Macaca mulatta: one gene and its partner. The protein of the gene in region 2 interacts with the protein of the main gene of each other region in a biochemical or structural test. Links are inferred from orthologs where the notes say so. Each region holds a gene or a part of one and is shown on either strand. Other genes may lie near its edges.

The links.
Region 1: the proteins of PKD1 (region 2) and HDAC9 form a complex in vitro, tested with the Homo sapiens proteins (2 studies listed by BioGRID, with this or other methods). The link is inferred for Macaca mulatta from reciprocal best matches to the Homo sapiens genes PKD1 and HDAC9.

The regions. Positions count from the first base shown.
Region 1 is NC_133408.1:110,191,973-110,206,504, forward strand, and holds the start of HDAC9 (histone deacetylase 9), read right to left. Parts: upstream 8,643-14,532; 5' UTR 8,380-8,642; exon of another isoform or gene 8,207-8,379; intron 1-8,206. UniProt on the Homo sapiens protein: Responsible for the deacetylation of lysine residues on the N-terminal part of the core histones (H2A, H2B, H3 and H4).
Region 2 is NC_133425.1:3,340,674-3,355,105, forward strand, and holds part of PKD1 (polycystin-1), read right to left. Parts: intron 8,028-14,432; coding exon 7,956-8,027; intron 7,835-7,955; coding exon 7,763-7,834; intron 7,493-7,762; coding exon 7,323-7,492; intron 7,136-7,322; coding exon 6,464-7,135; intron 6,345-6,463; coding exon 6,161-6,344; intron 5,727-6,160; coding exon 5,506-5,726; intron 5,331-5,505; coding exon 5,215-5,330; intron 4,805-5,214; coding exon 4,678-4,804; intron 4,322-4,677; coding exon 4,080-4,321; intron 3,615-4,079; coding exon 2,859-3,614; intron 1,951-2,858; coding exon 1,819-1,950; intron 1,417-1,818; coding exon 1,241-1,416; intron 931-1,240; coding exon 797-930; intron 319-796; coding exon 1-318. UniProt on the Homo sapiens protein: Component of a heteromeric calcium-permeable ion channel formed by PKD1 and PKD2 that is activated by interaction between PKD1 and a Wnt family member, such as WNT3A and WNT9B. Both PKD1 and PKD2 are required for channel activity.

The DNA of each region.
Region 1 (14,532 bases), on a different chromosome or scaffold from region 2:
GCAGTAATCAGAGGAAGCATCACAGAAGAGGTGGGACATACATTGGGCCCAGTGAAAAAGTAGGGCAGAGAAGCACAGCTTCCTAATCCCCAACAGAACCCCAGCAGAATGAAAGTCTGATTTTGGCTATGAGATGATCACTCATAGAAACCTGTGCTACATAGTTCTCTTTCTATTGCAAGACACAGAAATTCAATTTATGGATAATTTATTGCTCACATAACATACCCTTGGAAAAATCAGCTATAGAACCAGACCTAAGAATGACTGGATGCAGGGAATGAAAAACTGAAATGTCCTTATTTCTCTCTCTCTCTCTTTTCCCTCTCTCTCATCTTGACTTTTCTTTACACGTTGATTTACTCTCTCAGGCTGGCTACTCCTTTTTATCTAAAATCAAAGCCACTTGCTAGCTCCAAGTTTAGGATTTAAATCCTTAATGATTTACTGGATGAAAGGCAGGGAGTGGCAACAGTTAAAAATGTAAGGGCCTGGCACGGTGGCTCACATTTGTAATCCTAGTGCTTTGGGAGGCCTAAGCAGGAGGATAGTTTGAGGCCAGGAGTACAAGACCACTCTGGGCAATACAGCAAGACCCCTTCTACAAAAAAAAAAGTGTTTAAAAATAAACAATAAATATCCCTACAAAGGACACAAACTCATCCTTTTTTATGGCTGCATAGTGGACATGGATGCAGCTGGAAACCATCATTCTTAGCAAACTATCACAAGAACAGAAAACCAAACACCGCATGTTCTCACTCACAGGTGGGAACTGAACAATGAGATCACTTGGACTCAGGAAGGGGAACATCACACACCGGGGCCTATCATGGGGAGGGGGGAGGGGGGAGGGATTGCATTGGGAGTTATACCTGATGTAAATGACGAGTTGATGGGTGCAGCACACCAACATGCACAAGTATACATATGTAACAAACCTGCACGTTATGCACATGTACCCTACAACTTAAAGTATAATAATAATAAATTAAAAATAAAATAAAATAAAATAAACAATAAATAAAAATTAGCCAGGTATGCTGGCATGAGCCTGTAGTCCTAGCTACTTGGGAGGCTAAGCCAGAAGGATCACTTGAGCCTAGGAGCTCAAGGTTATACTGAGCTATGATCACACCAGCCTTGGGAGCAGAGCAAAACCCTGCACCAATCAATCAATCAATCAGTCAATGTAATAAAGATAGGCTGGGTCCAGGCTGTGAAAGAACTGGTGTCATGCTAAGAAGTTTGGGCTTTTAAAGTCAAATCTGGCCTAATCTAGCTCAGGAAATCTAAAACCTATATGAAGAAATTAAGTTTATTTAGAGATTTCCTGAGCTACAGTGTGCTCTAGAATAGATTAGTACTGTTGACCCCAGTCAAGCAAGGGCTGGCTCACAATTTCCCTCTTTGAGAACAGTAATATTCTAGAAGGGTGGACACCTGAACCCAGATGGAGCAATAATAAAACTCCCTTTGCCTGGCCACAGTGGAGTAGTCCATAGGTATGCACCTGATCTAACACAATCCAGTCACACCACTTTCTTGAGGTATTCAGTTTTAAATGTTTACATTTTGGTTCAGATACCCAGAGAAATCTTAACGGCTTCCTCATACTGTGCTGGGACGTAGAGTAAAACTCAGTAAAAGTAACAGAAAATAGATAAGACTTCCTGGGTACAGTGGAGCAGCAAGGGGATCTGGGCCAATGATTCTGATCAATGGAACCAGATCCATTTAAAGAAGATATTTAAGTACATAAAACAGAAGAAAAAAGTAGAATATCTATGAATAGATTTCAGAGGCACCACAGAGTAGAAAGAGGGACTGAGTAATAGAAGAACAAAGGAAGAATGTCTCAATAGACTTTTCAAGATCAAAACAGTGGCATCTACTGAAAAAGCTATAGAAAGAACCCTGTGGCCAAAGAGGCAATGAGAATTCATAATGTTACTTGATTTAATAGTAGAAATCTACATATAGGAAAGAAAGGAGACACAGTGCTTTTGATTTTAACCAAAATGATAAGTAGAAATAAAAATGCATAGCCTCTACTCCCTATTCTTACTTTTAGATCTGAGAGAGACCTATAATATGTACTTCCTGCTGAGAAAATAAAAGAAGGCATGGTACAGCGCACTCTCTCACTCCTCTCTTTAACCCTCATCTTGCAGTATCCAGTTCTCTCAAGGTGAATGATGGAACCCAACAGCAATTGTAGCACTGACATCCACTTCAATGTGAGTAACAGGCTTTCTCCCTGGAAACTTCACTTACTGCTTTTGAGTATGGGATGTGTACTACAAGACTTTAGGCTCTGGAATCAGACCTGGATTCAAAACCTAATGCCACCCCTAGCTGAACAACCCTTGGCAAAGTATTTAGCCTTTCAAAGTCTCCACACACCTGCCAGGGGAGAAGGGAGGCAGAACTAGGGAAATATAAACTAAACTGCCAGAGTTTGAGATACAAAATAGTTAAAATATGTCTGGCAAAGTGCTTAGAGCACAGGGTATGTTCAATAGTCCCCCAACCCCCTACATAGCACCCCATAGTCACTGGGCCACAAATATAGTACAATGGTCCTTTAGCTCTGCTCCTTTCTATAAAATGAGGGTAGACCACACTGCAGGCCTCCAAGTCACAGGGCTGGTTCCCTGCAAGGATTAGTGGAATCAGTCTCTTAAAAGTCTTTCATGCATGGCATATATTTAGGGACTAATTAAGTCAATACCCAGACTAATGTATGTGTAGTGATTCATCTTTCAAAGGTTTTCTACTCCTTTCTTATCACCACCACTCATAAATGAACCCTCATTACCATTATTCTCCTAAATTCCGGAAGAGTTTTCTCTTCCAAGGAGTCACATGACTTCAGCCACTTTCCAATTCAATCCCATCTCTAGAAGGTTATCATGCCTATCCTGGCCAAAAACTCAAACATTTCATTAAGCAATCATTTTTTCTTCTTTCCCTCAGCAGTGGACACCTGTCATTCTTTTTCGCAAGGGACAATGGGACCCCATTATTATATGTGGAGAATCCTCTCTTTTATGATATGGAGCCCACATTCCACTGTAGAAGCTATATGCCAACAGCGACAGCAGCACTACCTCACAGGACAAATTCTGCAGAGGGATTTGGAGCCTTGTTTCTACTTGAGTGGCTTCAAAGTCAAGTCTGCGGACTATACCAGAGGTTCTTTTAAAAAAAAAAAATAGGGTTTTTCTGTACTGCCCAGGCTGGAGCATGGTGGCACAATCATGGCTCACTACAGCCTCAAATTCCCAGACTCGTGATCCTCCCACCTCAGCCTTCCAACTAGCTGGGACTTCAGGCACACACCATCATGGCCAGGTAATTTTTTCTGTGTTTTTTTTTTTTTTTTTTTTTGTAGTGACAGGGTTGCGCCATGTTGTCCAGGCTGATCTTGAACTCCTGGACTCAAACGATTCATCCACCTTGGCCTGCCAAAGTGCTGGGATTACCGGCATGAGCCACTGTGCCCACCCCATACCAGAGATTCTATGAGCTAGTCAATGTGGTGGACACATCCTAAGCTGACCTCCAAGGAGTCATGCCCTTGTATAGTCTTATGTCACTCTCTCACTATTATATTATAGTATATAAGACTCTTTCTTATCAGACTGGAGCAAGAGAGATTTCCTTGCCAGCTTTAAAAAAAGTAAGCTGCCATGTTGTAACAGTGCCTATGAGAGGGCCACATGGCAAAGAATAACAGCAGCCTCTAAGAGTTAAGGGTAGCCTCTGGCTGACAGCCAGCAAGAAAATGGAAGCCTCAGTTCTAAAGCCATGATGAGATAAATTCTGCCAAAGAGAAAAAAGCTTGAAAGTGGATCTTTTCCCATTGATCTTCTGTTGAGATTGCAGCCCTAGCCAACACAGGAGATCTCTGGCCAGAGGACCTAGTTAAGCTATGTGTGGACTTCTGAGCAATGAAACTGATATGATAAAGGGGTGTTGTGTTAAGCAGCTAAATTTGTGGAAATGTGTTACACAGCAAGAGAAAACAAGGTTAATATCCTCTTATAAATTTATTTAATGTTTATATTAACTAAAGTTAGTTTCCATGACTTGCTACTGAATACCTTGAGTGACACACAGACTATCCAAATCTTACCCTTCTTTCAGTTCCACTTCAAATTCCACTCATCACTGTTGTACTAGAACTAAACCAGTCCACACCCATCTCCTTCTTATCACAGGTTCTGCAGAGATGTGAAGAAAGTACCATTTCCAGCAACCTCAGCGCTCCTCATGCTCACCAGCAACACATTATACTCTCTCTGGTGCAGCAAACAATAGATAGTAGTTTTCCTCTCTTTGAAGCTCTAAACAAAATTCATCGTAGTAAACAGGAAACCACATATGAACTTTTTTTCAGTAGTTGATACTTAATGATTTGGATGAGCTCCTATAAACCGTACATTTAGGGAAAGGAAGAGTAAAAATAAATATATTAGCTTAATAGAGAGCTCTTGGTACTGTCTGCTTATTCAAAAATACTTGCATGAGATTACATATTACCATTTTCTACAGAATTACAATGCTTCCTTCTGCAAGCTAGATAATATATTCCACTGTTAATTGTAATAATGCAATATCAGAAGTCTATCACTTTGGCTGTTACAAATCATGTGGGCAATTATCCTAAAAAAAATTCTAGTGGGGTTTGAAGGAGAGGAGATTTGGTGAGATGTAGAAAAACAACAAGTTTCTGTCCATTTTCTTTTTTAAAAAAGTCTGATTTACTCGGATATGAGGTCTACATGGACAGAAATGACTAGATAATTCCATAAACCTTCTGTTCACTTTGATATCTGTAAGTTCGGCCAAAGACACAGAGCTGATGAGAGAAATGGACATCCCGACACCCAGAATATGATCTCTGACCATTACTGGCTGCCTCTGGAGTGGACACTCCATTACTGTCCCCATCAATACTCTCTCTTCCCAAAAATCAGGTTCTGACTTTTCTTGCTAGTGAGGCTAATGATCCTCAAGCTTGACAACTGTGCTGATAAACTTCAAGGGCTGCTTTGATCAGTAGAGTGGCAGTAGGTAGTTGATAGGGTGAGGCCAGCAGGGGCAGAGAAATATGTGGACTATGGATTGACTGCAAGAACAAATATTCTACAGAGGTGTGTGCGCTTGTTTGTTTATTTCAGCAGTAGCTATTAGAGTCATGGTTCTCTCCCATCAACAGGCCAACAGTATGATCCATCCCCTTATGATTATATTGACTGATTTAAAATCTGATCTGCACATATATAAAGATGACCACTTTAAAAATCTGGAAATACATAAATTTATGAAGTTATCATAAGATACAGGAGCAGCTTGCTTTCATCATTAAAATACAGGAAATATAGATGTTACACTTAGCTTCACACTGATTCACTATTGTGTAATGTTGGGTATATCAGTGTACCTGCTGCCTCCTTCCTAAAATGAGAACTATATGTCATCCTACCTATCTCTCAAATGTTTTGAGGAATCACCAAAAAGTGTAAGAATTATAATAACAAACTGGGAAACAATTGTATATATCTGCAGATGCATGCAGTAAAAATTAAGTATGATAACTATTGAAAGCAAAAGGCTTCAAGCAGTAAAAGCCCCCACCAACTTAAACAGTAATACAAATTACATTTTAAAACAAAAAAAACCAATGAAGCAAAAATAAAAAGCCACATTTGGATGTAATAACAAAAAATGTCCATAACTACAATATTTCACTAATGAGAAGGTACAGATGCTACATACAGAAGGATTTTATGATGTCCATATGTTTCTCAAATGACTCTCCTTGTTAGCTAATTCTCCACATCTCTATTTAAGAATAACCTGCACCTTCCCCACTGAGCGTGTACAAATTATAATGTAATATGTTGTAATATTTAAACAAATTCAAAAAAGAAGTAATTCTAATAAAAAGAAAGGAAAGCTACATAAACCTAGATGTAGATATTAATAAAAATCTGAATTCTGGTGTCGTTCAAATTAGTTAATTAAATAGGTTTTTATCTGGTCAGCTGGCCTTAACATTCAAAACTCCTAAACCTCAAATAGAGTTCATCCATATCTTAAATATATAATTATTTATATATAGTGGCAATAACTTCATAAAACTCTTTCTACTATAATAACGGTTATAGTTAATTTGGTCACCAATCACAAAAATCTATAACCATGTATAAAATTATCTTTTAATTGCAAAAGAGCCATCATTATTTTTACAGAAGATGGCAGTTTAGTGTGCTAAACACTCTCTACTCAGAGTGCTGGTCTGACTCTCCAATAAAGACCAGTCCAACAGGCTGAACTGCAGAAGGAAAGAAACAGGAAGATCAAGGTTAAAAAAAAAAAAAAAATTCTGTCTCCTACCCATAAACTGGTATTTAATTTAAAACTCTTAACTTCCTTCTGCACAACCTTATGTGCATCTAATCATGTCCATTCTGTAGTAAAGATAATCAATTCACGAGCAGAGCTAAGAAAGCATCTCTCTCCCTCTGGCTGGCAGTTTATGAAAGGCCAGACAGGATTCCCACCTTACATGCCTCTGTTTAATAGCTAAAACGTATATGAAAACACTAGCTTTTTCCCACACAGAAAATGGCATATTCTAAGAAAACGCTGCTCTTCTTCAAATGTGCCCCATTCAAACGAAATGGATGAGAACAAATTAGAAGCAAGTTTTACAACTGACTAAATTACGTTGTTTCGGAAATACAATATTCTTATTAGCCATTTTAAATATAAATGGTTTCCAGAAGGAACATCAGTAATTTGATGTTTGGGGAATTAAATTAGTCCAAACTGGAACAGTGGTTTAAAAGGATAAGGAGGACTAATTATCTGTGGTAAAAGGCAAATATATTAAACAACAAATTTTCAATCACAATAATTTCCATAATAAATATCAAAAGTACCAAAGAGAAGTTCAAAAGATATCCTTTAAACATGATTTCTAATTTATTAAATGCAACTTATTCTGTGCTGTTGTTAATTACAGGATTAGAAAGATTTCTGGAGCATCGGAAAATAACATCCAGGCCTTTTCAAATGTCAAAAGGTTTTCTTTTGGAAGATTTTAAATTTTTTTTCCTTTAATATGGGTTCTCTATGTATGTACTCCCCTTTTCCAGATTTCAATAGTGCCTGCAAGATTTGAAAACATGACAGCGCTCTGAATACTTGTAATTGCTAAATCTTACTCCTTATGAGAAATCTCAGCACAGCAAGAGTATTTAGTTGTATATGCATTGTTATACCATTTGGGGAGAAAAGAATTAACTCTTCGCTTTCCTTTCGGGTAGAAGTTAAACTTTTTAAGCCTTTCTTACCCCTTTCCCATATTTTACACACACATACACTCCCCACATACATGTAATAATGAATATATGTAGATATCTCATTTCTCACATGATTTCAAAATGCTACAGTTACTTAAAGCTGAAAGTTCCTTTTAGGAGATTACACACACCTCCCTGGAAGAAAAAAACAATTGACAGATCTTCCTGAAATTGGAGCATAGGAGACTTACTAGAGAATTCTCCAAGTCCACATCACGGGAACTACATCCTCAGCTCTCTATCGCAGGCCACCTCTCCTGACAACCGCGCCTCGGATCTGGAGAGAGCTGGGTCCCGCTCTGTCACATCACAGACACACAGGCCTGACACCAGCACCTCTCACTGCGGACAAGTGGGTGACGGCTTCAAAGCCAAACAAACGCAGCCTGCTAGGCGCTCAGGGAACGCCCCCGTCCTCTGCTCCTTTTAGTCCCCGCTGTGACACCCTCGTATGGCATCTAATTAGCCAGTTAACCTTAATAAGCTTACGATTCATCACTCTCCTTCCACTAGCCAAGGAACTGCTTTATCTCCCATCCTCCAGCCTCTTGAACTTTTCTTAAAACCCAGGATTCTGATGTATTGACTTAAAACTGAAGTCCCCCAGGAAACATCAAAGGTACCCCCCAATAAGCGTTGCTCCCCTCAAGCAACACGTTGCCAGTACAAACTTTTCATTCATAGCTCGGCTCCAACATAAACTGGGTGTGTTTGGGGGCGGGAGAGAATCACGCCACCGGCCGCTCCCCTCGGTTTGCCAAATGTCAGGGTCTGTACACAAAGATAACCTAGCACCCAACTTCTGACAAAGGTTCCGTTAAACCCACCGGTCTCCGGGCTGCGAGATGCGAGGCAAGTGGCATCAGAGTCCGGACTGAGATGCTGTTAACCTGCGGAACCCGAGCAGGGAATACCGCGGCGCATCCTGAGGACCGGTGGCCCCCAATTCCCAGGGCTTTCCTCGAGCACCAGCCGGGGACTCGGCCGTGGTGCCACTCACCTCCGCCCGCCCCTGCTGAGGCTGTCGCGCCCTCCTTCGCTCCGCGCCGGCGACCTCCTAACTTCTCCCCCTTCTCCAAACAGCCATCTTTCGAGGAGGAGAAGAGAATGGTGAGGCAGAAGCAAAAGGGGAATGAAAGTTGACTCGGGGACCGCCGCTGCTCCTCCAGCCGAGATTTACCGGCCGCGGCGGGCACTAGAGGAGGAGACCGCGGAGAGAGCGGCGGGCGCGGCGCGGCCGGCTTGGTGCGCGCTGCGCGATGTGCGGGACGCGCCGCCGCCGCCGCCGCGCGGGGGGAGCTCAGGAGGGCGGCAGCGGGCGGCTGCGAGCTGCGAGCTGAGCGGGTGGCGGCGCGCGGAGGATTTGCTAAAAATAGCACTTCTTGGGGAGGGAAGTGGGGGACGGAGGTGGGAGGAGAGGCTCGGCCGGGAGCCCCAGCGCGGCGGGGGTTGGGCGGGGCTGGGTGGGGAAAGGAGGAAGGACCCGCGGCGAGAGCGCGGGCCCAGGCGCTGGAGACCCACAGGGCGGGCCGGGAGGCGCGGGCCGGAGGGGATTACAGGCGCGGGAACACCTGGGCGCGCGGCCGACGCGCGGGGAAGGACGCGCGGGAGGCAGGAGGGCAGCAAGGGCAGCGCAGGGTGGAGCGGAAGAGAGCTCCGGGCTGCACTAGCGTTTTTTTCCCCCGCAGGGGAAGGACCAGGGAGCGTAAGGCGACTTGGGGTTTCTGAAGCGAGACATGCCTACGCGAGGAGCGGGGTGTTGGTCAGGCGGCGGCCGTGACAGAGAACGGTGCTGGGGAGAAGCCCGGCCGCTGTCGCGCCCTCCGTGACTCAGGGAGCCCCGGCCGCTCAGGTGCGCGCCGCGCAGCGCCATCCCGCCCCAGCTGAGCGACTTCTTTTTAAGAAGAGGAGGTAGCATTGTGGGGCGGTACCTGGAACATCCCCACAGATGCCTGGAGCTTAAAGAATCATTCAAGGGAATTTTAAGAGAAAAAAAAATGCTACATTTGGGGTTTTTCAAATGGGAAACGTGAGGGAATATGGTGACTGCTGTTGGAAACATGACTTAGGTTTGCCGTGTTTTAAGGCTGAACAGAGAGGACCATTCGCTCTGAAACCAACCCTGAAAGAAGGCAAGCAGAGTTAGAAGGGTCAAGAATTAACGAGGTGATCTCCTTCAGTGGTTAGTATTCTTACCTTGGGGATTTTTTTTCTGCTATAACTGAAGTCTATACTAGCATCACTAGTAGTTGTGGATTCCTTTATGAAGCGTACAACACTAAAATATTTTTTAAGTGTAATCCTAAACATACTTGGCTAAAGCTAACAGTTGATCACTCAATGAGGCTAATATTTATGGTGTATGTAATTTGACCGTCAAACGAATTAAAGCTGGTGTCTCTGCTTTTATATTTATGGTTTTCCTCTACGTCAGCTAAAACACAGCTAGCTCATAGATGAATTACATGGATGGAAAGAGCAAGAAAGACCTAACCCAGTGCCCTCATTTTCAGAGGAGAGAACTGGGATCCATGGGAGTAGTGTGATTTGCCCAAGGTCTCACAGTGGCAGAGTTCAGATTAAAATTTAGGATTAGGGCCTAGGTCCAGTAGCTCAAGCCTATAATATAACCCCAGTACTTTGGGAAGCCGAGGCTGGAGGATTGCTCGAGCCCAGGAGTTCGAAACCACCCTGGGCAACAAAGTGAAACCCCCATTTCAAACAAACAAACAAACAAAAACCTCAGGAATAAAGCCAGACTACCAATTTCATAATAGCAAGATAACTCGAGAAAAGGAGTGGTATGGTATCTGTACTTTTAAAATAGTTAAGCCTTCTTAGGAGGATAAAAGTGTATGACTGCTAGATTTATCCCTCCCTTTGCCCTGATCAAGAATTCACACTGCAGGAGTGGTCGGCTAGCTTTAAATAAAAATTTAAAAATAAAAAATAATAAAGGTCGTACTCCAAAGACTGTTGGTGCTAGAGCTTCTGCTTAACTTTCTGTCCACACTGAGGATTCTGTTCATTAGCATGATGAATCTTAGTAATGGGTTCTCATTTCATGGATGAAATTGATGGTATTGACTCAAGTAGAGATATTTCTGATTTGTATATATGCCAGATATAACTATTTCATGACCTTTCACCCTTTACCTTTCAAAATGAAGAAATGGTGAAGTGTCCAGCCTTTAAGTTTTTGGAGGTTTTGGGGGTTTTTTTGGTTTTTGGTTTTTGTGGGGATTTTTTGTTTTGTTTTGTTTTGTATTTTGAGATAGGGTCTTGCTCTGTCACCCAGGCTGGAGTGCAGCTGCACCATCAGGGCTCACTACAGCCTTGACCTGGGCTCAAGTGATCCTCTAGCCTCCCAAGTAGTATCTGGGACTAACTTTTTTAGAGATGAGGCCTTACTCATCTGGCTCACCTGGCTGAGGTAATGTTGATCAGGTTTCTCCACTGTAAATTTACTCTTTTTTTCCCCTTTACATACTATATTCTCTGAGAGGAAGTCATTATGTGCAGCCCACACTTAAGAATTAGAGCTATGGCCTCTTCTTTTAGGGCAGAGTATAGTGCCTAGGCTGATTTTTTTTTTTTTAATGATTCTGTTTGCCTACAATTGACTCTAAAGGAACTCTCTCTGTTGTCTCTCAAGAAACCTTTCATGTAAAGTGTGGTTGAAGCACATAAAAGGAAATGTCCCTGGGATTTCACTGGGCATCTAAAACAGATTTTGTGTAATAAAGATGTATATGGCAAAATTTGAATTGAAACTTACTTTCACCTTTTAGGGTGGTGATACCATGCATAGTTAACCTTCACTTAAGTCTAATTATTTAAGTATCCCATGTGCAGGTCATTTCACAAATGGGAGCAGTCCTCGTCATCATTCTGCTAGATATTTGAATGCTGAGTTTGAGTAAGATACATGCTGGGTGCTACTAGAGACTCAAATATTTTAAATTATGACTGACTTGAAAAGATAATTTATCTTAAAAGTTTTGGTTGGGTTGGCAAGTTCTCTGTTCAAACCTATATTGTTGCATATATGACACTATATTATAATTTTTTCCTGGTTTTAGTCTCTTGTCAGCTGAGCTGTAAGAGGACAAAGATTACTCATTCACTTTTTTGTAGTTTTTTAATAGACTATTTTTCCTTCAGTTTCAGATTTACAGAGGAATTCAGAAGATAGTACACTAAGCCTTGAGTAACACAGTGATTAGGAGAGCAGACCCCCTGCAAAGTTGAAAATCCACATATAACTTTTAACTCTTTAAAAACTACTAATAGCCTACTGCTGACCAGAAGCCTTCTCAAAACATTAACAATTAACACACATTTTGTATGCTATATGTATTATATACTGTAGTCAAACAATAAAGTAGAGAAAAGAAAAGTTTATTATGAAAATCATAAGGAAAACATATTTATTATTCATTAAGTGGAAGTGAATCATCATAAATGTCTTCATCCTCTTCATCTTCCTGCTGAATAGGCTGAGGAGGAAGAGGAAGAGGAAAGGTTCATCTTGTGTCTCAAGGGTGGTCAAGGTGAAAGAAAATGTGCATATAAGTGTATCCATGTAGTTCCAACCTGTGTTATTCAATGGTCAACTGTATAGAGAACAATACACACACACACACACACAATTTCTCCTGCTATTGTCATCTTTCTTTAGTATGATACATTTTCTACAATTACTGAACTGGTATTGGTAAATTATTAACTGAGGTCCATAGTTTATCAGAGTTTTTTTTTTTTAGCTTTTACTAATGTGCTTTTTGTGTTTAAGGATCCCATCTAGGAGACCACAATATATTTAGTGATCATGTCTTTTTAGGCTTCTGGCTATGGCACTTCCTCAGACTTTCCTTGTTTTTTATGACCTTGACGGTTTTGAGGAATTCCAGTCAGATATATTGTAGGATACCCCTCTGTAGTAATTTGTCTAATGTTTTTCTCATGGTAAAAATAAAGTTATGGATTTTGGAAAGGAAGATTATAAAGTTTTGTTTTCATTACATTATATCAAGGGTACATACTAGGCAACATGATTTGTCACTGTTGATGATAATCTTAATCGCCTGGCTGAGGTAATGTTTGTTAGGTTTCTCCACTGTAAATTTACTCTCTTTTTCCCCTTTACATACTATATTCTCTGAGAGGAAGTCACTATGTGCAGCCCACACTTAAGGAGTAGAGATATGGCCTCTTCTTTTAGGGCAGAGTATCTACATAATTTATTTGGAATTCTTAGTCATTCACTTTTTATTTCCAAAGATCAGCACAGAGCCCTCAGCATAGTAGGTTCTTAATACATGTGAAGTGTAAGAATAGGATTAAACATAATTTTTCCCCTTAAGAAAGTTTATAGGATCTGGATGTCAGCAAAATGGTGAATAAGACTTTCTAATGCTTGTACTCCTGCAGAAACATCGATCTGAACAACTATACATGCACAAAAATACACCCCCCAGGCCACCTGCTGTGGCCCTATATGCCAGTGAACCCACAGTTCAGGCCTGCTTCAACAGACCTTGGGTCTAGGCCTATCCTGATAGACCCCAAGCTCCAGGCTAGCTTTCATGGCTTCAAGTACCAAGCCAACACCCATGATCCTTGCTTCCAGGCTATAACCCAGAGATGCAGGATCCAGTAGACCCAGAGTCCAAACTCACCCCAGTAGACCCCAATGTCAGGCCAGACCTCATGGACCGAGACTGCAGAACCAACCCTGCCGACCCAGGCTCCAGACTGGCCATGGTGGACCCAGGACCTAGGCCTGCCCCTGCAGACTCAGCCTCCAGGGCAACCCCAGTGCAGGCCAGTTTCCAGCCCCATCTTAGTGCCTGCCCATCCCCTGTAGATTGAAGCTCAAAGCACACAGCAGAACTAGGTCAGCCCCTATAGACCCAGGATTTGGGCAGGATCCCATGGACACAGGCTGTAGGCATACTCCCATGGACTCAATCAACATGTCCACCCCAGTGGATGCAGACCCCAGGTACAACCCCGTAGACCTGGGCACCAGGGCAGGCTCCCTGGGAAATCCAGCAGTAACTCTACCTGTGAACCACACCAGATAGCATGCCCAGAATCTCTAGACAGACTGACTGGTAAAAGGTTTTCCAGATAAAGTGTGTCTGCAAAGATTGTAATAAGTCCCTGTTTATTCAAATTAACAGACACCAACACATACCAATAAGGTTCAAGAAAAATCAGGGAAACATGACACCACCAAACAAGGAAAATAAAGTGCTAACTAATCCTAAAGAAATTGAGATCTATGAAATGATTTACAAAGAATTCAAAATAACTGTTTTACGGAAACTTAGTAAACTTGAAGGAAATATGGAGAAATAATTCAATGATAAATGATGAAATGAGAAATTTAATAGAGATCAAAATTATCTTTAAAAATCAAATCCTAGAGCTGAAAAATGTAGTGAATGATATAAAAAATACAATAGAGAGCATCAACAGTAAAATTGATGAAGAAAAAGAATCTGTGAACTGGAAGACAGGTTATTTGAAAATATATAAGAGGAGAATATGTAAATAAGAGGAGAAAACAGAAAAAAAAATTAAAGGAATAAAGAAAGCTTACATGATTTATGGGAAAGCATCAAAAGAGAAAATATTTGAATTATACCATTTCGAGAGGGAGAGAAAAGAGATAAAGGGCCAGAAAAATTACTATTATTTTTTTCTTTTGAGAGGAAATCTCACTCTGTCATCCAGGTTGGAGTGCAGTGGCGCGATCTCAGCTCACTGCAACCTCTGCCTCCTGGTCCTCTGCTCCCCAGTCCTGCTGAACTGTGAATCAATTAAACCTCTTTCCTTTATAAATTACCCAGCCTCAGGATGTCTTTATTAATACGATATCAGAGGTAGCTATGCTTATATCAGATAAAATAAACAAAGAAGGTCATTATGTAATGATAAAGGGGTTAATTCATCAACAGTATATAACAATTATAAATATATATGCACACAACATCAAAGCACCTAGATATGCCTCAGCCTCCCAAGTAGCTGGGATTACAGGTACCTGCCACCATGCCCAGCTAATTTTTGTATTTCTAGTAAAGGCAAGGTTTTGGTGAAAGATATAATCTAGTGAAAGATATAAATATCACTGTATGGGAAG
Region 2 (14,432 bases):
CCGCCTGGGCCAGAGCGCTGCTCACTGTGTTGTTGACCTCCAGGTGCACGCGGTAGGTGCCCCTCGAGGCGTAGGTGTGGTTGGCAGTCGGCTGGCTCTGGGTCAGGACAGGGGAGCTGTCTCCGAAGTCCCACGTGTAAAGAACACCTCCAGGTGAGGGCAGCGGGTGCGGGTAGAAGGTGATGGGCCGGCCGGCCACCAGGACACTGTCGCTCACACCCACAGCCATGGAGGGCAGGGCCGCGCGCACGCTCACAGGCACCTGCTGCGTCAGGTTCTCGAAGGCATTGGACGTCAGCACGGTCAGGATGTACTCACCTGTGGGGATAGGCCCAAGTGGGGCGGCCGTGGCACCCCCACCCGCTCCCTACCCGCTTGGCAGAAGCTCCCGCCTGAGGAGCCCAGGGTGAACGGCTACACCTGCGGCCCAGCCCTAAGGGTCCCAGGCTCCCAGGCCACGTGCGGGATGGAGCACAGGTGCGGCAGCACTGAGAGCTGCCAGGTGAGGACAGTGCCACCTCCAAGTGCAGCTGCTCTCAGGGCAGCAGAGCAACAAGAGCCAGGCCCAGGGGGCAGTTCAGGGGGCCCAGCTTCCCCGTCCACTCCCCCCGATGCCTGGCCCCTTCCTCACCCCAGTAAGAGCCTAAGCCATCAGCCCAGGTGGAGTCACAGTGAGGGCTGCTGGGGAGGAAGGGGGGCTGCTGGGGAGGAAGGGGGGCAGCTTGACTGGGGGGTTGGGAGGTGCCCATGCTCAGGGCCTGAAAGGCAGCAGCCCTCTCACCCCCTCATCCCTCACCTGGGGCAGCGTAGGTGTGCGTGACATTGTGCTCCACCAGCACCTGGGCCACTGAGGGGTCTGGAACCGGGAAGGACTCGTTGTACGGAGGGTGGAACTGGCGGAGGGCCTGCTCCCCATCCCCAAAGGTCCACCTGCCAGGGCAGTGGGAGGCAGTGAGTGGACCAGGACAGAGGTGCGCGGTGGCAGGGCAGGGGTGCTTGGGACCCAGCCAAGGCTCCACCCTGCAGTCATGCCCTGGGCCTCTGTTCAGGGCCCACCAGGCTGGGCTGAGGCCTCTCCCCGCTCCCGTGCAGCCTCAGGGCTCCTGTGCACCCAGCACCTCCCAACAGACGGAAACCGAGGCTCAGAAAAGCAGCCCCCTGGCGTGGGGGCCCTCAGCTGAGACTGGGGCTGGGACAGGAGCCTGGTGCCCACCCCCCAACCGGCCCCCGAGTCACTCACAGGAAGGCCACCTCCACAGCCGAGTCCACCAGCACGCCTGCCGTCAGTGCCAGCGTGGCATTGGGGGGCAGCACGGCCGGCACTGTGGAGACCCACAGGCCCTGCATCCGGTTCATCCGCTCCACGGTGACATTGTAGTTCACAGTGACGTTGCTCACATGGTTGGAGGCCGTCAGCTGCAGGGACAGGCGTCAGTGGGCACAGGCGGCAGGTGAGAGGCCCGGCCCTGCTTGGCGTCCCTCCCTCCACTCACCCACAGCCACGGCAGCGTCCTCAGGCAGCAGAAAGCAGAGCAGAAAGCAGAGGTGAAGGTGAAGCCCGCCCCAACCCCATCAGGCCCCCCCATCCCCTCCCCTCCCCACGCCCCCGCCTATCCCTTCCCCACACCCCTGCCGCATCCCCTCCCCTCCCCATCTCCTCCCTTCCCCTCACACCCCCGCCCCATCCCCTCCCCTCCCCACGCCCCCGCCTATCCCTTCCCCACACCCCCCCCCCGCATCCCCTCCCCTCCCCATCTCCTCCCTTCCCCTCACACCCCCGCCCCATCCCCTCCCCTCCCCACCCCCCCGCCCACCTACTGAGAGCTTGAAGACCGCTGCGCTCTGATAAATGACATTGAAGACTACGTTCTGGAAGGTCAGGGACTGCTTGTCGTTGATGGTCCACCGGAAGACCACGTCCGAGCCGGCCTCCACCACGGGGCTGTACCTCTGCGGGGGGACTAGTGTCAGCCTGGACTCTGTGGAGGACCGCTCTGCCCTTGGCCTGTCGCCTCCTGGACACACCTCCCATTGGGCTGGAGAGTCCCACGCAGGGCACAGAGTGGAGGAGGTGCCCGGGGCTCTGCATGCCATGGGAGCCAAGCCTGGGCGGGGGCACTGACTATCCGGCTCTCCAACCAGCCACATTGTACTACTGATGCCTCAACCTCTCTGTGCCTCAGTTTCCCCATCTGTAAAGCAGACCTAGTACCAGCTACAAAGAGTCCCCCTCTCTCTGAGTCCTCTCAGACCCTCCTGGGGCTCCTGCCCCACCTCCTCAGCCAGAGAGCTCGGAGCAATGAAGGGAGACACACCGGCCTCACAGGGACAGGACCCACATCGGCTGACAGAACCCAGGACAGGCTGCACAGGTCATGCCAGGGCCATCAGAAACGGCCCCTCCCAAAGCCCCTGGTGCAGCGGCAGGCACCCACAGGACGGAGACAGCCCTGTCCCGCATGTGCCCAGCATGGTAGCACCGCAGGCAGCCCGCAGTTTCCCATCAGAGGTTCAGTCTTCACCTCAAAAGCCACTCGCTTTAGCCAGGCGAGAACACAGCAGAGGGTGTGACAGACTCACGGGGGTTCGCGTGAGGTCAGGGGGCGGAGTTTTAAATTCATTTCATGAAATGAGACAGTGGAATGTGTTAGCGGAGCCGCTGTCCGAGCTGTGACTTTCCAGGAATTTAGAGCCCACCAGGTAGCCTGAGGAGCCAGCCAGCAGGACCTGCCCAGGGCTGACGTCCCCAGTAACTGGGCTGCCGCTCTCACTAGGAAGCCAGGCCTCGCGCCCTGTGTGGGCACCCTGTCTGTGGGCACCTGCCTGGGGGCTGGCGGCAGAGCCTCAGCCGTACTCACCACTAGGACTCCCTGCAGCACACGAGCCTCAGGGCTGGGCGTGGCACGGAGGCCACAGATGGGCTCCTCCGCCGTCACCCGCAGGCTGAGGTTGGCCTGGCTGGCACTGTTTTCCGCCACAACCTCCACCACGTGCTCCCCCTCACTGAGCCACGGCAGTGCTACCACTGAGAACTGGGTATCGTTGGTCTCCCAGGGGCAGCCGGGCAGAAGGGTGGCCACCAGGGCAGGGCAGGCAGCCTCAAAGCGGGTGCTGACATTGCCCCCAGGCCAGCGAGCCGTGGCCGTGGCGTTGGCACCAGAGTCCACCTGGAGCACCAAGGCCGAGCCATTGGTGGGCACGTAGAGGTGGCCATTGTGGGGGGCAGGGTAGATGACCCGCAGCCCAGCCACTGGGGAGACCACGTTGAAGCTGCAGGACAGGTTATGCCTGGACACGCCATTGCCCACCTCTGCCCGGACCTCATAGCGCCCAGGCAGCCGCAGCCCAGGGTTGGGCCGCAGGCCCAGCAGCACGGTGAGCTGTTCCGTGGCTGCAAGCAGCCGCAGGGCACAGGCAGGGCAGTCCCGAGTGCCCTCCAGCTGGGCTGGCAAGTGGGGCAGCCAGGCCGAGGCGTTGGCAGAGAGGTACAGGGCCTGGGGGCCAGGGTGGCCGGGAGCCGGCGAGCAGTGCAGGAGGGCGCCAGGGCCAGCGTCGTGCTGCAAGCCAACGAGGTCACCAGGGAGCATGAGGACATCCTGGCCATGGAGGGTGACCTGTGGCAAGGGAGGCAGGGCTGCATCACGTCCTCGTGGTCATGGCCCGTGGACCCCTGCACAAGGGAGGAGGGGGGACAAGCAGGGCTCCCCACTTCATCAGCCAGGCCTCAGGGAACTCCCCACGGAGCTCATGACAGGGACAAGCAGGACAGCTGCGGACAGGGGAACACACGGGGAGAGGACACAGGCCAAGATCTGGCAGGCAGGAAGGAGCAGCTGTGCCAGGAGAGGGGACAAGGAAGCACAGCACGTGCCAAGAGCCCAGGCGAGAGCTTCTCCCATTGGGAGAGGGGCAAGAGCACTGCAGAGGTCGGAGGTTGGAGGTCAGAGGTTGGAAGTGGCAGGGACATGGGAGTAGCCTGCAGGCTGGGTGTGTCGGGTGAGCAGACCCAGACCTTGGGCAGCAGACAGGAAGGTGGCCTGAGGAGATGCAGGGGACAGACTCAGGTCAGGGCCACACACCGAATACTGCGCGGGGGGCCCCGCAGGAACGGAGAAGAGGAACTCTCTCCATAGCGCATAGAGGGCCCCGGGCAGCCCCGGCCCTGACGTGCAGCCATTGGCCTGGGGATGGCAGGAGGCGTCCAGCGGCACGCAGACATTGGCTGCAGGGCACCAGCGTCCCCCTGGCATGCACTCGGGGACCAGCTGGGTCCTGTTGTCCGGGGACCTGCTCTCAGGTTCGCTGCCGTTCTCTGGGGTCCCTGCGAGGAAGGGAGGGTTGTTGGGGCCCTGATTCGCCCACCGGCCACCGTCAGAGATGCCCACCTGCCTGCACCGGCAAGCCTGGCTTTGCTGTGAGAACAGGTCTCCCCGCCTGGGCAGCACTCCCAGACCAGTGCTGTGTCCCTGCCTCCGGCCAGCCGACTGACCCAGGCCGGCCCCCAGGCAGGCCCGACCCGATCCATCCCTGGGACACCTGGAACGAGCTGGTGTCTCTGGAACCCCAGCTCTGTCCACCAGAGACAGGGGACCGCTCTGGTGGCCACGGGACCAGCAGACGTGAGAGCTCAAAGAGGCCACCCCGAGCCCTGCGGTGCCCACCACCCCAGAGTCCCACCTGCCGTGCTGAGGAGCCGGTACACCTGCAGTCGCAGCTGGGCAGGCCGCCGGAGCTCCTGGGTCCCAAATTCGGCTGTGGTGAGGAAGGCTTCGTGGCTCAGACTCAGGCCCGGGAATACCATGACCTGGAGGGTAGGGGGCCGCCTCAGCTCCACAAACTCCACCCCAGCCTGAGGCCCAGACTCCCCTGACCCAAACTTCCCCAGAAAGAGGGGAAGGAAGGGAAGTGAGCCTTCAGACCCCCACATGCCATGCTCCTGTCGCTCACGAGGAAGACTCCGATGGAAACTGTCCATGGGCAGCAGGACCCCGACCTGCCTTTCAGGAATAACTCGCAAACACTCAGAGAAAAGGCCTGGGGGTAACGTGAGTCAACACTTTCCTCTCTGCACTCTGGGTTTTCCCAACCATCTTCACTAGGCCCAAGCAGCATTAAGGCCCCCAAGATTTTTAGCGATGCCCACAGTGGGCAGGGCAGGCAAGGCCTCCAGGGGCAAGCAGGAGAGTGGGTTCTAGAACGCAGAGGGCCAACTACCTCCACGGGCTCGTGCGGGGCTGAGAGGCCATCCTGCGGTGTCAGAGGCGTCAGGGGTCCCTGCAGGTCCCCACTAGGTGCTCCCACGAGGAGGTTCTCGGCATCCTGCACTGGGCCTGGGGTGGTGAGTGCGCAGTGAGGCGTCGGGCCAGGGCCCAGGACACCAGGGCCAACAGACTGGGGACTGAGCAGCCCGAGAGCTCCCACCAGCTCCTCCACCTCCACCGTGGGCCCTCGGCAGACCCCTAACCATAGCCAGTGTCTCAGGACCCCCGCCTGGCCCCTGCACACCTCCAGGCCGCAGTTCGCAGACGTAGCTGTGTGGCGCTGAGCACAGGTCGGTGTTGCACCACCCGGTAGGCCCGAGCCGGACGCAGTGCTCAGCTGTGGCTGGGTGTGGCTCCCCGGGCAGCCAGTTCTGGCAGCTCTCCAGGCTGAAGGCCTCGCCCTGCGGCGCCAGGCCCGTCTCCGCCCCCTGCACAGTCGAGAAGCCGATCCACACGTCCAGGCTCCTGTGGGCGAGTGTGGGATGGCAGGGGGCTCAGGGCACTCCTCCATCCTCCTACCCTCACAGTAGCCCGTCCAGAGCCCCATCACTGTCCCCCTTTCCAGATGGGGAAACTGAGGCTCAGAGCCCAGAGAGCAAGGCCCACCAGCCCAGGCTCACAGCAGCACCCACTCATGGGGCCTGTGGGCACCGGCAGGGATCTCCGTGCAGGCCACCTCCCATGTGGCGTGCCCCAGGAGGGTCCAGAGGCTGTCCCCAGCTCACGTCAGTCTCTGTATCTGCAGAGCTGACGCAACGGCCCTGCCGGCCGGCGCCATCTCCTCACCAGGGCCGGCCCAGCTCCCGTCTGTCTCCACCTAAGCCTCCCCAGCCGTGGGCTCTGCCCCAGTGTTTTGGAGATCCCCCAACCTCTGGCCCCTCAGGGGTGGGGACAGGCACCTGGTAACCCGGGAGACCAGGAAGCGCTGCACGGCGGGACTGTCCACCATGGCCAGGGCGGCCCCAGCCCAGGCCCGGCACTGCTCCTGTGCCTGCAGCCAGGCTGCCTTCTCCACCACCAGGCGGTAGCAGTGCCCGTTGCCAGGGAAGATCTCCGTGTCCGAGGGGCAAAGCGGGTGCACCACTGGAGACCAGTGGGAATGAGAGTGTCAGTGGTCAGTGTGGGCCTAAGATGGGGGTACCAGGCTCTGCCCCACCCAGATGGCCCTGGGGAGGAAGGGGAGGTGGGCAGGAGGCACTCACCTCGGGCCAGCTCCTCACCCAGGGCCACGATGCTATAGGCAGCCTCCAGGCCTGAACCGCCACGGTTCTGGATGCTGAGTTTGAGGCTCTCGTCACTCTGCACCGAGGACGGGCACACGAGCTCCAGGGCAGCAGGTGCCGCTTCCACCTGCACGTTTGTCCCCAGCAGGGCTGAGCTGACCCCCAGGGCCACCACTGCCGTCACATGATAGCGCCCAGGCAGCACATAGCGGTGCGAGGCAGCCGGGCCAGCGGCATCCACCTCGGGGGAGCCATCTCCGAAGTCCCAGCATGTGGCAGTGACAGGGAGCGGGGCAGCGATGTGGAAGGCTGCTAGCTGGCCAGAGGCCAGGGGTCCATGGGGCCCCACCAGGGCAGCCCCTGGGGAGGCAGGGAAGACATGCTGGAGGAGGGTTGGGCCCCCACAGTCGAGCGCAGGAGGCGGCGGGGGGCCAGAGCAGAAGGACAGGCAGGCGAAGGAGGCACTGGAGGGCTGGGCTGCCCCACACAGGCACCAGCCCTGCTCCGAGAGGGCCGCAAGGCCCCGGCCAGTGGAGAAGCAGAAAGCACTGCAGGCCTCTGGCTGAAGTAGGCCTTCGTGGGCAGCTGAAAAGGCCACTGCTGCCACAGTGCCTGAGCTGTTGTCAGGGAGGCAGGCGATATACTCCTCACCTAGAAGAGGCAGCCGCTAGACCCTGGGTTCCCCTCCTCCTGGCTCCACCCCATGCCCCCCATCCACCCGCCACACTCACAGGCTCCCATGCTGCTCTCTTGGCCCGGAGGCCCTCCCAGGTGTCTGCAGGGCCCAGGTCCCACCTGGCTGGGAGCAACAGAGCTGGCCCCACCCACTAGCACTCACCACAGTCACTGTCCAGCAAGGGGATGCCGAGCAGAGGCTGGCCAGCCAGGGAGCCAGGCCCAGCACACGTGGCCGCCTCGGGCTGCACCACCCGCACTTGCTGCTCCTCTGCCCATCGCGGCAGCCACACCAGGCCACAGTCACACTCAAACGGGTTCCCACTCAGGTTTCTGCAAGGCAGGGGCAGGAGTTGGGGACCAGGTCTGGTGGGAAGGGTCTACACCAGCCCCTTACCGGCAACCAGGCCCTGGAGCCACGCTGACAGCACCGCCTCCCCTGCCCCAACCAAGCCGGCCCTGGGGGGCTCCAAGCAGGCAGTGAACTGCCCCCAGGATCTGGTCTCAAGCCTGGAATGGGACACAGACCAACTGGGAGGGCAGAAGGGATGCTGGGGGCCTGGGGTCCAGCCACTGACACCCACCCAAAGAACCACAACTTACATTTCACTTAAATTAAATAAATTAGCAAATATTCCTTCTTCTAGCGTAGAAATCTTGTTGTTGCTTATATCCCTGGAAGAGAAGGGGGATTCGGCAAAGCTGATGGAAGCCCCCACAGCCGAGCAGCAAGAGGCGGTGCCGCCGGCCCATCTGGGATGAACCCTGCATGCTGGCGAGGCTGGGGGACACTCACAGCTCTGACAGTTGCGAGAGGTTCGCCAGGAGCCCGACGTCCAGCGCCCGGAGCAAGTTATGGGAGACGTCTCTGAGGAGTGAGTGGCAGTGGGTCAGGGCCAGAGCCCCTAGTAGGCCAGGCCATCCCTGGGCCCACCCCACACACTTTTAGCAACCCCAAGCTATGGCCTCCCACCCTTGAGCTCCCCACTCCCTGAGGTCAGGAGGGGTCTTTCTGATGGAAGACCCAAATGAACGCTCATCTGGGGAAACCAAGCCAGGAGAGGCCTGGGGGCCTCAGCCCTCTGTACCCATCGCAGCCCTATGCCGAGTGCCACACAGACCTGTCCACCCAGGGCCAGGATGGGCACAGACCCCCAACCCATCCCATGCAGGGCCAAGGTCCTGCAATTTCTTGTCCACAGTCGCCCCCAAGAGCCAAGGCCCCCTGTCCCCTGTCCACAGACCCTCCATAGAGCCAAGGACTCCCATCTCCTGTCCACAGTCCCCCCCAGAGCCAAGGCCTCCCAACCCTGTCCACAGCCCCTACACAGACCCAAGGGCCCCCATCTCCTGCTCCTAACCCAGCAGGGTGGTCCCACTGTGGGACCACAACCAGGTATGAATGTGTGAGAAGCAGGCTCACTACCAGGCTACCAGGGAGCACAGGGAGCAGGCACCATCTTGAGGCATAAACCCAGGAGAAACGAGACATCCAAGATGGCCGGGCACGGTGGCGCACGCCGGTAACCCAGCACCGTGGGAGCTGAGACGGGAGGATCGCTTGAGCCCAGGATTTAGAAACTACCCTGGGCAACACAGTGAGACCCCATATCTACAAAAAATACGTATCAGCCAGGCATGGTGGCATGCGCCTGGGGTCCCAAACACTCGGGAGGCGGAGGTGAGACAAATCGCTTGAGCCCAGAGAGGTCAAGGCTGCAGTGAGCTGAGATCGCATCACTGTACCATAGCCTGGGTGAAAGGGCGAGACTCTACCTCAAAAATAAATAAATAATAAATAAATAAAACATCAAAGACCAGCAGACCTAACTCCATCTAAAATATACAACTTCTACACAAAATATAAATAAAATCAGAAAACAAACTACAAGTTGAGAAAAGCACTAGCAACTTAGATGACATATTGAAGGCCAAAAATACTCTCCCAACACAGCTAAGAACGAAAAAGTCAACTATTCCAGTTAAAAAGAAGAAAAGGAATTTGGGTGTGGTGACTTATGCCTGTAATCCCAGTGCTTTGAGAGGCAGAGTAGGGAGGACTGCTTGAGGCCAGGAGTTTGAGACCAGGCTGGGCAGCATAGCAAGACCCCATCTCTACAACGAAAAAAAGAGAATCAGCCAGGCATGGTGGTGTATAGTTGTAGTTCCAACTACTCGGGGCGCTGAGGCGGGAGGATCGCTTGAGCCAGGGAGGTCGAGGCTGCAGTGAGCTCTGATTGTGCCACTGCAGTCCAGTCTGGGTGACAGAGCAAGACCCGGTCTTGAAAGAAAAAGAAAAAAAAGAGGTCGGGCACGGTGGCTCACGCCTGTAATCCCAGCACTTTGGGAGGCTGAGGTGGGTGGATCACGAGATCGAGAGATCGAGACCATCCTGGCCAACAGGGTGAAACCCCATCTCTACTAAAAATACAAAAATTAGCCGCGCGTGGTGGTGGGGGCCTGTAGTCCCAGCCACTCGGGAGGCTGAGGCAGGAGAATCACATGAACCCCAGAGGCGGAGCTTGCAGTGAGCCAAGATCACACCACTGCACTCCAGCCTGGGCGACAGAGCGAGACTCCATCTCAAAAAAAAAAAAAGAAAAGAAAGGAAAGAAAGGGAGGACAGAGAGAGAGAAGAGAAGGGGAAGGGGAAGGAGAAAGGGAAGGGGAAGGGGAAGGGGCCGGGTGCGGTGGCTTCTGCCGGTAATCCCAACACTTTGGGAGGCTGAGGTGGGTGGATCACGAGATCAAGAGATCAAGACCATCCTGACCAACAGGGTGAAACCCCGTCTCTACTAAAAATACAAAAATTAGATGGGCATGGTGGTTGGCGCCTGTAGTCCCAGCCACTCAGGAGGCTGAGGCAGGAGAATCACGTGAACCCGGGAGGCCGAGGTTGCAGTGAGCCGAGATCACACCACTGCACTCCAGCCTGGGCAAAAGAGAGAGACTCCGTCTCAAAAAAAAAAAAAAGAAAAGAAAAGAAAACAAAAAAAGAAAGGAAAGAAACAGAGGACAGAGAGAGAGGAGAGAAGAGAAGGAAAAGGGGAAGGGGAAGGAGCCAGGTGCGGTGGCTCCCACCCGTAATCCCAGCACTTTGAGAGGCTAAGGCAGGCGGATCACCTGAGGTCAGGAGTTCAAGACCAGACTGACCAACATGGAGACACCCCATCTTTACTAAAAATACAGAATTAGCTGGGTGTGGTGGTGGGCACCTGTAATCCCAGCTACTCGGGAGGCTGAGGCAGGAGAATCACTTGAACCCAGGAGGCAGAGGTTGCAGTGAGCTGAGATTGTGCCACTGCACTCCAACACTCCATCCTGAACAATAAGAGTGAAGCTCCATCTCAAAAAAAAAAAAAAAAGAAAAGAAAAGAAAAAGAAAAAAGGAGGGAGGGAGGAAAAAAAGGAAAACTAAAAAAAAAAAAAAAACCCAAAAAAAACAGGCAATGAAAAGAAGCACAATTGGTCACAGCTGTGGGAAAGACAGTCCATGTCAGTAGTCAGTGGAGAAAAAGCAACAGAAACCACAGGGCGGCAGCATGTCTCTCTTTTCAGAGCTGCCTGAGTACAAACCAGGTCCTGGTGCTGGTGACAAGCAGGTGAGAAGCCAGAGAGCCAGGGCAAACCGAGAACTCCATGTTCCCTCGGCCTCAGGCACCTCCGGGGTCACCATGTTGCCCACCCTGGGTGCCCCTCCTGGTCCCACGCACTCCCAGTAGTGCACCTGGCACAGGGACTGTGGCTCCCTCCCCAGCTCTGCACGCCAACCCCTTGCTCCCCAGGCCCCCAAGGCCTAGCCGCCTGCCATGGGCCTCTACTTCCCCAGGTGTCACCCTCCCCACACGTGACCCAGCAGGTGCCTCCGCCCAGACCTGCTCTTCCCAGCAATGACCACCTGGCAGCCAGGCCTAAGGTAGGGTGGCCTCCATTCCTGAATGCCCGCCCGGCCCCTGCCAGCCTCCAGCCCTGCTTATCGGAGCTCCACTCCCATAGCAGCCTACCCTGGCCCAGGAGAGACGCACACACAGGCTGCCCGGAGGGACCCGGGGCCAGGGCAGGGGCTTCAGAGGGGAACCAACAAAGGGGACCAGAGGCCACCCCAGCTGAGGGGGACAGAGCAGACGAGGCCATCTCCATGCCAGGAAGCAGCACCAGCCACTGACGGTGGAGCTGGGCCCTGACCCGGGCTGGGTGTCCAGATAGACGAGGTGCTGGGCACCCGGCTCCCGGAGCTTCTCATTCCATCTGCAGATGGGGGGCATGCTTGGGGGTGCAGCTCCCTTCCCCCACAGGCTCTGGGACACTCAGAGAGCCTGTGCCAGTGCCCTGGGCTCCAGGAAGGGAGAGGATCTGGGGGCCAGGCACACAGGGAATGGCCCCTCTGGCAGGGCCACCGTTTTCCCCCTAACTGAACTCAGCTTCTCTGCCGTCCCCTCCTCTACACCAAGGTGGGGACATGGGCTGAGGTGCTCCTCACTGCCCGTAAGGACGGGGGTGCCCACAGCCGCACTGCTGGGTGTCCACAGCATCCCACTGTGGGATGGGACAGGCCAGCGACTGGAAGACCAGCAAGAGGCCATTCTCGAGACAGGGTGAGGCAGCCAGACTCCCACTCATTGCCCAAGCATCATGCCCGAGGGGGACACTGTGCCATGAGGAACGGCAGTTAGACCTGAGGAGGGACTTGCCAGCGGCTGCAGCGGCAGCAGAACCAACGCTTCAGGGAGAAATGAGGCAGCAGCTCTAGGGGGCAAGGGGTGCTGCAGAGGCCACGGTGAACACAGGCAGGCCCCCTGGAAGGGACACAGCTGTGAAACAGCCCTGGGGAGGGGGCACAGGCTCTCACACCTGCCCCTAGGCATGGGGAGCAGCTCCCACAAAGGCCACAGGAGGAAGGAAAGAAGAAAAAGCCTGAAAATGTTTGGCCACATCCCATTTTCTGGAAAATCCATCAAGAATGGCTGCTGCTGGGAGCTGACAAGCCAGGGCAGGCATGGGGTCAGGTCAGCCGAGGACCCCAGAGCCCACCCGCTCCCCGCCCACCCCACTGCGGACCAGGCCTGGGGTGCCATGGACACTTCTTCCACGCCAGCAGGCAGCCTCGCCTGTCACGGGTGCTGGCCACACACTCCCTGCATGCCAGGCTCTGGGCTGGCTCCTTCTCCCGGCCCTCACCCCGGCCCACGGCCCAGAAACACAGCAAGGCTTTGGGGACTCCGCTCAGCCAAGCTCCCAGAGCCCAGGACAGCAGAACCAAGCTGCAGCCCAGACACGAGCCAGATGCAGCCCCCCATGGTGTGCAAGCATCTGCCCTGGGCAGGACTCAGGTGTGGGCTTCAGGAACAGGGATGGGCACAGGGGTCCCTGTGGAGTCCTCACCCCGCTTGCTCCCGTACTTTTCCACATCTCCATCTGCTTTTGCCATCGCTGTTCTGGGGGAACGCCAAGGCCTAGACAGGCGGCCTCGCGCCAGCCCCCCACCCCGCCCCTCAGGCTTCCTCTGCACCCGCCAGGTGACATCATCACCACTGTCTGATGCCCTGCCCCCACATTCTGGTTCCCTGCAAGGATGGAGGACACAGCAGGGCCCGGGCATCTGGCAGCAGGACCACGGGGTGGCCCTAAGCCCAGGCAAGAACACAGAGTGGAGTGCAGGGTCCTCTGGAGTCCCAAGGCCTTGCTGCCCCACATACCCCTCGCCCCAGTTCCTGCTGTTAGCTGGAAGGGTGGGAGCCAGGTGCACAGGGACGGCCTGATGGGTGACCGAGGGCCAGGATGTGCTCCCAGGTAAGCTGAGAGCGGGCTTGTTGAGAGAAGCGCACCCCCATGGGGGGCAGGACAGTGCTCCAGCCCCAGGACACGAGGGGCCCCCAGCGCTGAGTGTCTGATCTGGAAGGCAGGAGGAGTTAGGACCATCCTAGCGTAGGACCCAGCAGACTCCTTAGCGGCTGCTGGGGCACCATTAGGTGGAGAAGGAAGTCCCAGGTATGTGGCCACAGTGGGGGCTTCACCCCTTCCCAGCACCATCCTGGAGCAGGAACAGGAACAGCAGAGGATGTGGCCAGGCCTGGAGGCTGCCCCTCCACACCCCTGTCGCAGGTGGGGCCACGTCCCAGGGCTGTGGGCAGCGGGGCCAGCCTGCCAGCCCAAGGTAGGTGACACGTGTCTCATGCTGCAGCGGGTCTGCCCGCCACCCAGGCGTGTGAACCCCAGGTCAGGCCCCCTGGCCCTGGAGTGTGGGCCCCTCAGGCATGTTCCCAGCCGGGCGCCGGCTCTCCTGCCTTCCCCTAGGCTCTGCCCACAGTTGGCGCGAGGGTGGGTGAAGCCTGAGGCTGGCAGGGCCGGGAAGTCTTGGGGCTGGGCCTTCCGCCCCGCAGGCGCTCCTGGGCAGGAGGAGCCGTGGTCGGGGCTCGCAACAGTGGGGCTGAGAACTTCCCTGGGTGTGGGGCAGCCCCCAGGGCCCTCCCAATTCACAGCAGAGGGAATGGCCACGGACAAATCGGACCCGCCTCAGAGCCCCACACTCAGAGCTGACTGCCCCAGGTGCCCACTCCCCAGACCAGATGCTAAGTGGGGTCTGGGGGCCAGACGGAGCCCCCAAAGAAACATCTGCACATTCCAGACGCATGTGGTCAGCAGCAGGCGTGCGCCAGGCCCGGCACCCCCACCCGCGCTGGCTGCCTCACTGGAAACTGGGCTGGGGGGACCGGCTCGGAGGGGCCTGTGGAGCTTATGTAACCGCTCCTCCCTCGGCAGGGGCAGGACGGGACGCCAGACCCGGGGAGGCCCCCTGCCCCCTGCCAGGCCCCATCCTCTCCTGGAGGAGACGGTTCCCCTCAGCCCAGCAAGGGGACCCCCAGGCCCATCCCTCCCTAGAGCAGGCCCAGGGTGAGGAAAGGGGCCGCAGTGTGGGCGCTGGAGAGGACAGGGGACAGGCGGCAGTGCCACCCCCACTGCAGCCCCTTCCTCGCTGGGCCAGGCGAGCCATGACCTCATCTGTTTCCCTCTGTGCTGTGCTCCTTTCTATTTAAGGAGAGTGAGGCGGTTTCCAGGGCCGGAAATGATCCTGTTTAAATTAACGGGCTGCAGTTTGGGACGGCGCTCATCTGAAGGAACACAGTGCAGCCCCAGGCTGGGCAGACGGCTGCTGGCTCCGCCTACCACTTCCATGGGGAGGGCCAGGGAGGCCAGCCGCAACCCCGGCCCCACGAGAGATGGGGGTTGCAGCCTCTGGATAGAGGACGAGGCTGCCAGGGCCCAACAACAGAGC